Linked DNA regions of Caenorhabditis elegans. The protein of the gene in region 1 interacts with the protein of each later gene in a pairwise test. Each region holds a gene or a part of one and is shown on either strand. Other genes may lie near its edges.

Region 1 (7,453 bases):
CTGGTACTGTAGGAGTACTGTAGTGCTACTGTAGGAGTACTGTAGTGGTACTGTAGGAGTACTGTTATAGTGCTGTAGGAGTACTGTACTGGTACTGTAGGAGTACTGTAGTGGTACTGTAGGAGTACTGTAGTGGTACTGTGGGAGTACTGTAGTTTTTACTCTAGGATTACAAGAAATATTAGAAACTTCCTGCAAAATCTGGGAATGATGGAAAAAGTTTTGTACATTTTTGGAATTTTTTTAAATCTATACAAACCTAAAATAAAACCTGAACCTGAAGTAAAACGTCTTCGAAAAGTCTGAGAAATTAAGAAAAAAAAATCTAAGAGCTTTCTAATAAATTTTTGGACTTTAGGAAATTTTTTTGAAACTTTGAAACATGTTGCATTTACGGAAAAACCTGAAGTTTTTGAAAATATATAATCTGAAAAGTTCAACAAAAAATATTTTTTCAAATTTTTCGAAAAGTCTTTACTGTAGCAAAACATCTGCAAGCTACTGTAATAGTACCGTAATCTTCCATTTAATTCCATTTTCAGTCCCTTCATACCACAACCGAAGGCGACGAGACTCGAGATATTGGATCAGGTGAAAATATTCCAGCAGTGGATGTTGGGTCATTAAAGGATAACATTACAAAAGTATTCGAAATGGTCGAAAACATGCTAAAATACATCGATAAAAAGACAGAACGACGTTGGTGGCTCCGAGATGTCATAAATTTCACTCAAGCCGCTGTCAAAGTCGCCTTATTCATAAGTGCTGCGATTTCAGTGGCTTATCACGAAAATCAAATTGCGCCGATTATTACGTTGGTGATTACTGTAATTCAGGTAGGTCAAAGTGAAAAGAAAATAAAAAAGCAAAAAATTTCGAAAAAGTCGTATTGACAATCAAAAAGCGGCAATTACTGAGTTTCTGTCACTTTTTGAGAAACTTAGTACTGTACTACTAGTACTACTATTACAACTACAGTAATACTGTACTACTGTAGTACTGTAGTACAGTAGTACAATACTACCGGAGTACTATAATGCCGTAGGATTACTCAAAAGATTCTAGCACATTCCATAATTTTCTCGGATTTTCCAAAAGATTCTAGAAGTCTCCAAAGGTTTAACTAAGTTTTCAGAAGGTTTTTTGAATTTCACGCAAAAAAGTATTTTCTCAGAAAATTTGAAATCCCGTCAAAATTGAATTTCCACATTGAATAATATGATTTTTTGCAGGGAATAACCGAAGGATTCGATCAGTACTTTCTCAAGAACAAGAGCCCAGATGACATCCATATTTCTGTACTCACGAATACCATGAATAATTTGAAAAGTTGAAGAAAATTAATTTGATATCCATGATTTTGTTTTTGACCATGAGTAAAATGTGTAACGCAATTCATAGAATTTTTCTATTGTTGCAACAAACAAATTAAAATACCTAAAATATTCCTTGATCTACAAAAAATGCGGGAATTTATTGCCTAAAAAGTGTGACGTCAGCACGTTCTTAACCATGCGAAATTAGTCGAAAACGCTGCGTCTCATTCTCCCGCATTTTTTGTAGATCTACGTAGATCAAACCGAAGTGAGATACTCTGGCACCTTATCAAGTTTTCTCAACGCTAATATGCCTGAAAATTTAAAAAAAACCATAAGTCGTAATAAAAATCGGTGGCCGAGTGTTCAACTTTCGCGGCCACGAATTCTCATCGACTTTTCTTAGTTTGCGATAAAAATATATTTATTAATTCAAAAAACTTCAAAAAATCGATAAAAATCGCGCGGACACGAAAGTTTCAAATTATAGTACTCTTTAAAGGCGCACACCTGTTTTGCAATTTGAAAATTGTCGTTTCGAGACCGGGTACCGTATTTTGCCGCAAAATTACAAAACTTTGCGCGGCTGAATAAAATTTAAAATTTAAATTTAATAAATCAGAAAATCAATAAACGTGTGCCATCTTTTTTTTGTGGAAAAATCTACGCAATTTTAAGTGATTAGTTTTTTTTCTTTAAATTATATTTATTTTACGCAATAAAAAAAAAGAAGCTATTAATAATATTCACGTACGAAATTCTGTCATTTCTCAATAATCCTAAGCGGATTTTAATAGGCGGTCGAATATATCAAAAGTGAGTTTGTGTCTGGGAGTGGGTTCATGCCACGTGGCCGCGAAAAGAGAAAACTCGGCCACCACAAGAAATTAGCAAGTGGCCGGTAAAAAACCTTGGCCACTGCGGCCATGTTTTAAGATTCCAGTCGAAATGAAAACCGCGATCAATTATTGCTTTTTTTTTGATTATCAACTTTTTAACCAAAAAATTTTCGGCAATTTTTTGTTTGTAAATGGTGGCCGAGTTTTTTCTTCTCGCGGCCACGCATCGTTAACATTTTATTTCCAGAATATTCCGGCGAAATGAAAGATTCTTGCAAAGTCTCGAAATCCACAACAAACCATCGTATTGATATGAATAAAAGGTACGTAAATGTGCGCCAAATCTGGTGTGTACGCAATTCGTCTACCTGTTCGGTAGAGCGCATTTGCACTGTCAGAATACACCACATTTTACGCGCAAAATAAAACTCCATTAAAAACGCTTTTTAATTTTTCAGTCTTGATATAACCGCTGCCATTCACCATTTCGAATCGGTCTCCCAATTCCTTCGTGACGACTACTCGGGCGCCCGTGAACTTTGTGACGTCACTCTCCGCTTTGACGATGAATCGATTCCGGCACACTGGGTGATGCTCGCCGCCTACTCGCCTGCGTTCGCCGAAAAATTTCGAAAGCCCAATAAATGCTTCGTCTTGGAGATGCAACCGTTGGACAAGACCAGCGTGAAGCGGGTCTTGGATTATATCTACTTTGGCAAGGTAAGCTTTCCGCCTAGGCCTACCTCGTACCTACTTTAAGAATTCAGGTGACCTTCCGCCTGGCGACCCTTCACGAAGACTTGAAGGCTATCTCCTACTTTGAAATTGTCACGTTGCAAGAGGACGTTGAGAAGAGATTGGTGGAGCTGGCCAAGGGGAATTGTGTCGATGTGCTTAATTTGGTGACTGCTAACTTGAAAACTGTAAGTTTTTGAGACGGTGGTGCTGATAATGAGAAGCACGCCCGCCGGCTTTTCGCCCTGAACAAGCCTCTCTGAAAATATTGATTTTTTTTAATACGACTACCGGGCGATGAGCAGCTGGCAAATAGCTGGTCGATAACTTTCCTCTAACTACTACTATCGACCTCTAACTACTACTATCGACCTGTAGGTTGAACGATAGCGGCCTGTAGTGGGCGGTAGTGGCGGCAGCGGCGGCAGAGGGAGAGTTGCGGGCGGTAGATGGCGGTATTCGGCGGTAGCTGGCGTTAGCTGTCGGTAGCGGGCTGTAGTGGGCGGTAGCGGTGGCAACGGCGACAGAGGGAGAGTTGCGGGCGGTAGATGGCGGTATTCGGCGGTAGCGGGCGTTAGCTGTCGGTAGCGGGCTGTAGCGGGGGGTTGCAGGCGGTAGCGGGAGGTAGCGGGTAGTAGCGGCCGGTTAGCGGCCGGTAGCTGGCGGAAGCGGGCGGTAGCGGGCTGTAGCTGGCTGTAGAGGGCAAGTAGAGGGCAGTAGCTGCCGGTAGCTGCCGGTAGCGGCCGGTAGCGGGCGGTAGCGGGCAAGTAGCGGCCGACTAACAACCGGTAGCGGCGGTGACGAGCGGTAGCGGGCTGTAGCGGTCGGTAGCGGGCGGCAGCGGGCGGTAGTGGGCGGTAACGGGTGGTTGTTGACGGCGCATCCCACTGCGCCAGCGCACACAAATACGCGCCGCCGCTGGCGCCGGCGGATTTTTTAAAGTTTCCACGCGTGGCTTCCAAACAGTCGGTATAAACGCAGTTTGCCGGCGGCGGTAACCGTTTTTCGCAGCCGCCGGCGCACCCTACTGCGCCATTGCAAATTTTATTTGCTTGCGCCGGCGGCGGCAGCTCACACAAATAGGCACTGCCGCCGGCGTCGGCGCATATTTCATTTTTTTTAATTTCCACGCGTGGCTTCCAAACGGTAAAAACGCAGTTCGCCGCCGCCGGCGCACCGAGTTGCGCGCAGCCATCAAATCTCTGTCATTTTTCGAGCGGCCGGTAGCTGGCGGTAGCGGGCGGTACCGGACTAGTACAGGGCAAATAGCAGACAAGTATTTTTTTTTTAATAACTTTTTTTTCCAGATCCCGCATTCTCCATCTACGATTCTATTGATTTCCGATGAAAGTGTCCGCGATATCGTCTCGATCCTTCACGACACATACTCGACCAATCGCCTGTCCTACGAAGAAATTCTGAGCCTGTCGACGAACACGGTGATCACATGTCTGTCGGCACGAATTCCGGACTTTAAGAAGGTCGACATCATCAATATGTCGTTGAAGTGGATCTACGAGCGTCATCTCAACGATCACAAGGCGTGCAAGATTCTGCAAGGTCTGACGCTCGGCTCGATGACCTACGCGGAGCTGGTGAATTTGCGAAATTCGTTGATTCAAACCGCGATTCCTGTGACAATCGGAAGATGTGTTCGTTTGAAGCGTCGGGAGAACGATACGGTGAGCTTGGTCTCAACACTGTGACGTCACACCGGACGTGAAATTTTGAAATTTTCGCACCAAAAAAATACGGTACCGGGTCTTGACACGACAAATTTTCACGACGCGCTTCCGGCTTTCCTCATAAACTGAAATGTAAGAGTTTTGCCGAATTAGGCCACGTTGACTCGGCCATGGCCGGTGTCGATTTACGGCGCGTTGCGTGCCGCGTCGCGGCTCGTTTAGTTGTAAAACTAAATGTATTTGTCCGTGTGGATTACACGATTTTCCAACGCTTTGTCCGTCAGATTGTCAATGGAGCGCGAAAAATGCAATGAGGAAGGCCAGAAGTCCTTGACAAAAAGGTATGCACCTTTAATTTAATGAGTACTGTAGTTTCTCTTGTTGGAATTTTCATCCATTATTAAAAATGTTCGTGTTTTCTTCAAGTTTTTCAATAAATAAGCTAATTTTCAACAAAAAACTATGAAAAATCGATAAAATCTTGTGGCCGCGAAATTTTGTAACTACAGTACTGTTTAAAGGCGCACACCCTCTCGCGTCGAACAAAAGTATGTCGTGTCAAGACCGGGTATCGTATTTTTAGCGCGAATAGTCATATTCCATATAATTTATTAATTTTTGCAGCTCGACATTGTGTTCACCTACGGCGAATCTTCAGGATATCAGAAACCGGGCATCAAGTGAGTAAATTTTAGACTTGCTATTACACAGAAGCTAAAATTAAAGTGCCAGGTCTCGACACGACAAATTTCCAGGGTGTGCGGGGTGTGCGCCTTTAGAGAAGTGTACTTGTTGGAAATGTTATCGATTTTTCTTGGTTTTTCGAAGAAAAAAATATTAATTTACAACATAACATGAAAAACACTTAATTTTTAACAAATCGTGAAAAAAAAACTTGAAAAATCGATAAAAATTTCACAAAAATAAGAGCTCGAAATTACTGTACTCTTTAAAGGCGCACACCTTTTCGCATTTAACACAAAATTTGTCGTGTCGAGACCAGGTCCGTATTTTTGGAGCGAAAATCGCAAACTTTCGCGCCAGGGTAATAATTGGAGTACTCTTTCGCGCTTTACCGCACTGCGCCTCGATTTGGTGGAATGCATAATAAAACTAGAATATTTTTCAGGCCAACGATCACATCCTCGTTCACCATGAATAATGACCCAACGTCTGGCGCCGGGACACCATCTACGAAGACTAGGTGAGTTTGTGTAGTTTGTAGCCACGACGACACACAAAATTTTGATAAATGCGAAAAAGGTGTGCGCCTTTAAAGATTACTGTAATTTCAATTTTTTTAGAATTTTTATCGATTTTTCAGAGTTGAATTTGAGTGTTTTTGTCAAAAAACTATGAAAAATGGACGAAAATCCCGCTGAGAGGAAAGTTTAAAGTTACAGTACTTTACAGGCGCACACCTTTTCGCAAATAACAACAAAAATTTGCCGTGTCGAGACCTCGTACAGTATTATTGACGCGAAAACCGCAAAATTTCGCAAGAGAACAGTACAAGACGGTGCGAAAAGGTGTGCGCCTTTAAAGAGTACTGTATTTTCAATTTTTCGTATTTTTATCGATTTTTCAGAGTTTTTCCAAGAACATTTTTAATTTTAATGTATTCTTAACTGTCAAATTTGAGTTTTTATCCAAAAACAGCGATAAGTGACGAAAATTTCACAAATTAAAATTCCAGTACACTTTTTTAAAGGCGCATATACATTTTCGCAAATAACAACGAAATTTTCGTTTCAAGACCTCGTACAGTATTTTTTGGGGCGAAGACTGCAAAATTTCGCGTCTGGGACTGTTATTACAGAACAAGAAAAAAATGGAAATTACTATCTTAAAGGCGCATACCCTTTTCCGCAGGGTTTTTTGAAAAAAATTCAAATTTTTTCGCTCGTGTCGAGACCCGGAAAACCGGAAAATTTCACGTCTCGACAATAAAAACGCCTAAAAAATTCAAATTTTAAATTTTCAGTCGTTCCCCAAGCAACAAGTTCGACGATGCAATCTCCGAGTCTTGGAACGTCAAGTAAGCACTGCCACGTGGCATTTATCGATTTTTTTTTCTTCAAATTTTTTTTTCCAGTCTCGATGATTGCAACACGGCCATGTCGTTCAACGACGAAGACCTGAAACGTCTTGGAATCGAAAAATCGAAGAAGATGAAGAAGAAGGAGCAGGAAGAGATGTAGTAGTAGTAGTAGTAGTAGATAATTTGTTGATTGAAAAAGAATGAATGAACTGCTTGGGGGTTTATTATTATTGTTGTGGCAAATTTTAAAACTTTTGTGGGATTAGGGGCAAGTGAGAATCCGAGAATTTGAAATTTGAAATATGGAACAAGAAATAAGCAATTTCGGGGCAATTTAAAGTGTAAAAGTAAAGGAATAGTTGAGAAAATTGGGAAAATGATGTCGAAATACTTGTACATTTTAGTTGATTAAAGGTTGGTTGTTAGGGTAAATATAATAAAGAACGTGAAAAATGGAACAGTTGATTGAAATCATTAAGAAACATATTAGACAAATGTCATTCCTTCGAGCTTTTCGTTGACATTCATGTCCTTGTTGACTTCGCAGAGGTCTCCGAATGATTCGAGGTCGCAGTAGATATTATTTACTCTGAAAAAATATTATGATATTATGAGATTTCGAATGTTTTTTTTTCTATTAATTTCGAAAACTTTTTTGGGACAAGTGTAAATATTCAAAAATGTTTCAAAAAATTTAGGAATTTTGCAATTTTTTTTGAAAGTTTTTCCATAAATGAATATTCCTTAAAAATGTATTGTAAATCTCGGGAAATTTGAAATTTCTGAAAAATTTTTTTTTGTTTTGGCGGGAAATTCAGATTCTCGGATAAAAATTCG
Region 2 (4,772 bases), on another chromosome or scaffold:
ATTATGATTGCTTTTTGTTCGGTTTTCCGAAAAAAAGAGAGAGAGAAAGAGGACAGGCGGCAAACCAAACAAGTTTACGTACAGTCCTGACTGTGTCAATACTCTTGGCTGGCGTCTCCCCTTGTGATGTCACTCACAAGTCAGTTGACCCTTCCGGAGTGTGTGGGGGATCTCTATCAGATTCTTCTGAGCTTTCTCTCGTTTTGTCAATTTTTTTCAGCTGCCTGCTGGCTTCGACGAAAAATGTTCTTCCCCCTATGGCCTTGCTTCTTTTTTCGCTTGAACGCTCTCTCAGAGAGCCCCACAGGCTGAGGAGAGGCGCCAATTGCATTATTGGCTCTTCGTTGGCTCTAGCCGCCTTAGACGGAGAATAAAATGCGGCCACCCAAGAGTTTTTTGGACTCGTTACTCTTCTTCCAACTTGTTTTCACTCATTCTATTCTTCCATTTGTCAAAAAAACATTTGTGCGTGAAGAATGTTTTCTTTAAGGTGACCTACCACTTTCGAGGCTCTAAATAGTCATATTATTAGTTAGAATATGACTGAAAATACGAAAAATTAGATTAAAAACACTTTGGTAGCCAATATATGGGCGGAGTCTCTTTTTGGAATTTTCTTGCCGTCGTGCCATTTCATTTCAAATTTGATTTTGATGTTTTTGAAATCTCAAACTGAAATTGCTAGTTCTAGGCTGCAATTATCTGAAATTACTCAATATATTTTGCTGAGCTTGAAAGTTTTGATAAATAATTGCTCCCAACCCACCCACTCACTATAATTGTTACTTTATATTTAAAAATTAGTTTAAATATTAAACTTATTGATGTCCTTTCTTGGACTCAATTTTTCTGAAGTGTCAGTTCTTCGCACCCTTATTTCTTTTTTTTTTCTTCAGAAATGTACTAGTACGTGCTTTAGAAATTTATAAAAGTAATCATTTACATAACTTTCAAATATTTTTTTGATGAATAAAATTAATTTTTAAGAACTTTAGTTCAAAAAATCATTAAAATGGTGTAATATTTCGACGAACCAGGCACTAGAAATTATTATTTTCTCTAAGACCTAGACTTACTTTTTTGCAGATTTAGAACATTTTGACCTGATTTTTTAATTTTGACCGAGAGAAAAATATTTTTTTAAAAATATATATGGTAGGGCTTCGATTTCTCTTTTTCATGCCACATTCAACATTTTTCAAATTATTTTTTTCTATTTTCGACATCATCTTTCGGTTTTTAACCAACCGGATAATATATCAAAAGCTGACCAAAAAGATAATTACGTTGTTGATCACCAACTACTGATCACTGAGGGAATATAAAATATATGAAAATACATAATTTGGTGATTCAATCATTCGAAGTTCTGATCATTTAGTGAAAAAAAGGTTTCTTTCGCAAATATTCGAGAGCTCAATGCTAAAAAAAAAGACGAAAAGTATGCAAAGTCATTAATCATGTAGGATCTACTAGCTTCTCTTGACTCTTTTCTCTGCAACAATCACATCTTTGTTCCGCGCAAAAAAGGCGAGTAGCCAGTTTTTTCGTTTCTAATTAATTTCCTTTTAGATTACAGCTCGCATGCTTTTACTTTTTCACCACGCTGTGTCTCTAGCTATTTCAGTCGTGTTTACGGGAATATATATGGAAAAGAATTATTGATGTATTTTAGATTATCCAATAGTTTAAGTGATGAGGAAAAAATAATCTACAAAGATAAATTAGCAAAAAAACATTTTATGTTTGATTTCGAAAATATTTGAAAAAAACATTCTTAAGTTTTTGAGAAACTTTAAAAACTTTTTATGACAAGTACCTCTAAATAGTAATTTGATAACTAACGTTTCAAAACGATTTCTTTTTGCTTTGCTTTTTTTACCTATTCACTTTTTCGAACCTAGTTAAAAAATAAATTCTCCATCTATTTTCAGAAAATGGCATCACCCTCCGCTTCTGCAGACGACGTCAAACTGACAGCCGATGGAAAGATTTGTCTTGATGATCCAGCCGAGTTTCTGAAAAGAAAGCCAAAGAAGAGTATTCTTAAGATGAAACAAGACTCATCGCTTGAGGGCAAAGATGGTCGTGCACATTTTGATGAAATGAATATTCTTGCCACTTATCATCCAACTGACAAGGATTATGGAAGCATGAAGGTTATTTTTTTTAGCATGTGCTTTCTTTTGTGGCTGCAAAAAATATTTCCTTCTTCCTCAAGAGGGACCCTTAAAAAAACAATTTGGATGAAATATGGGAATTTTTTGGGAAAAAAACGTCCTCGAAAAGTTTTTCAACTAAAAAATTGAAACAAAAAAAATGAAATTGGGAAAAATAACTTTGTTTTTTTACATCTAAACAAAATTTCCTTCAGAAAACTACCTTTTTATTAGTTTTTTAAACAAAAAACCGAACTTTTTTCATTGAAAAGGACTTTGAATAATAATGAACAAATATTGTTAAAAAACACCTCAAAACTGAAAATTATCGAAAATATATGATTTAAAAAACGTCTAATTTTTTTTTGTTGAAAATATAGTTAATTTTATTACAGCTTTTTTCCCAAAAAAAAGTTAATTCAAATGCGAATTCACACTAAAAAGTAATTATAGAATAAGCGAAATAAAAAGTTATTAAAAATTCAAGAGTTTTTAGAAAGTTACAATGAAAAATTATGAAAGGATTTTCCGACAGTCAATCATTTTGATTTTTTTTCTAGAATTATTAGCTTTTAACGTATTTTTCCCATGAACGTTTGTTTTAATTATTTGACTTTAAATTGTTTCAACATATTCAGATTGCTATTAAATTTTATTTTGCCATTTTCAAAAACTTTGAATTTTGCAGATTGATGAACCAAAGACCCCATATCATCATTCAGATGGTGAAAGTGAATGTGATGAAGGAGTACTTGGAGTACCAACAACTCGACCACGACGAGTATCACTCGGAAATGCCATTGACCCAGAAAAAGTGGCCGAAGGACTTGCTCATCCGGAGGTTTTAGAGCTCTTTATGTGTTCTCTCATTTATTTTTCATTTATTTTTCCAGAGTGGAAAATCACTTTCTTCCGCTGAAGATTCCGAGGACGAGGCTGATTTGACAGAGGAACAACGTGGTACGGAATTGAAAATTGAAGAAAAATACATTTTAGTTGAAATATTAAAAAAAAGTATATTAAAAATCAAAATTTATAAGAAATTCACAAAAATATTCTAAAAATTGTAAATTAAAAATCCTTTTAAAAACCGATTTTTATTATTTAAAGAAATTGTCTAGTAATTTCGAGCAAAAAATTTTGTGAAATTAAAAAAAAACTTATTTGGACAGCTTTTGTCTTCAAAGATTTTTAAAAAATAGTTATTTCTGATTAAAAAAATTATAAAGGAAAAATTCCAGAAAAATCAGTTTAATGATATAATACAGTTGAAAAATTGGTTTTTCTTAGAAATTTTTTTAAAAATTTTGTCAACAAAAAATTTAGAAAAATTGTTGAATTTTTTCAAAAATCTTATTTTTGAGTTTAAAAATGTTTAATTTGGAAACATAATCGAATTCTTTGAAAAAATCTAGATTTTATAAATATAAAAAGGTCAAATCTCAATATTATCATTTTTCAACATAATTTAAATTTTAAAAAATCGTTTTTTTCTCTAAACTGATCATAAAAATTGGCTCAGTTTTTTTTTAATCTAAAATCTTCCATTTACTAATGATATTATTTTCAAAATTTTTAAAAAATTATTTATTTTAGGAATGTAATCAATTTTGATGGGTTTCCTAGAAAAAAAACTAGATTCACTGAACATTTTGATATTTGTCATTTCAATTTTTTTTAAATCGAAGCGTACAAAATTTCCATAATTTAAAACACGACTCTTACAGCTCACCGTCGCGATTTCGAGAAGAAACGACGTGCTCATTATAACGAGGGAGCTGCTCTGAAGCATCATCCAGAACTCGAAGATGATGAAGAAGAAGCTACTGCTGCTGCTGCTGGTGCCGGTGGAAATATGGAACACTAGCAAATACATTAAATGCCGTGTGCAATCATATATTTTTGTTTTTCCTTTGAATTGCTCTCTTTCTCATTTTTTTCAAAGTTTCCACCAAAAAATCTGAATTCTTGTATAAAATCCTTTTCCCCCGTAAGCGAATTTATTTATTATTTGTTCTCTCAATTTCTCAATTTTCCCTACTATATTTTTCAAGTTTTCGAAATGAATATCGAATGATCCATGAGTTTTCTTACTATTAGATTTTGAAATTTTCAAAAATTGTCTAATTATATTTTGTCAGACGATTCTAATACTGAAAATTTTGAAAACAAAAATGTTTTTTACCCCGCTGCGAAATACTACGATTTGCGCTCTAAAAATACGTTACCCGGTCTCAAAGCGATCGATTTTCTTAAACGCAGAAAAGTGTGCGCCTTTAGTAGTACTGTAGTTTCCAAAAATGTGAAAATATTACACCTAATTTTGAAGAAATAGGAGAAAAGCTAGAAAAAATCGAAGAAAATCCCGCAACAACGAAAAGTTATCAACTACAGTACTCTCTTATGAATTCAGAAAAATCGATCGCTTCGAGATCGCTACATTGTTTTTGAAACAAAAATCGCAGAATATTGCATAATTAATAGTTTTTTTTTTCGAAATTGTTAATTCTATTTCTAATAATATTTGATGTAACACAGTCCAATATTTTCATCATTTTTGAGACACAAAAAGGTCAACATTAATTGTCATCACGGCCGTTCACTACAAATACA

The links.
Region 2: the proteins of pei-2 (region 1) and szy-2 interact in a two-hybrid assay, tested with the Caenorhabditis elegans proteins (one large-scale study listed by BioGRID).

Annotation. Positions count from the first base shown.
Region 1 is NC_003283.11:1,017,723-1,025,175, reverse strand, and holds pei-2 (BTB domain-containing protein), read left to right. Parts: upstream 1-1,708; 5' UTR 1,709-2,132; intron 2,133-2,402; 5' UTR 2,403-2,416; coding exon 2,417-2,478; intron 2,479-2,613; coding exon 2,614-2,875; intron 2,876-2,922; coding exon 2,923-3,078; intron 3,079-4,197; coding exon 4,198-4,572; intron 4,573-5,199; coding exon 5,200-5,255; intron 5,256-5,704; coding exon 5,705-5,779; intron 5,780-6,559; coding exon 6,560-6,613; intron 6,614-6,670; coding exon 6,671-6,776; 3' UTR 6,777-6,840; downstream 6,841-7,453. Other genes in the region: R09A1.3 (UPF0496 protein), read left to right, coding at 543-836, 1,233-1,334; Piwi-like protein ergo-1, read right to left, coding at 7,103-7,205.
Region 2 is NC_003281.10:5,368,437-5,373,208, reverse strand, and holds szy-2 (Protein phosphatase inhibitor 2), read left to right. Parts: upstream 1-1,932; 5' UTR 1,933-1,937; coding exon 1,938-2,159; intron 2,160-2,847; coding exon 2,848-3,000; intron 3,001-3,052; coding exon 3,053-3,119; intron 3,120-3,886; coding exon 3,887-4,026; 3' UTR 4,027-4,243; downstream 4,244-4,772.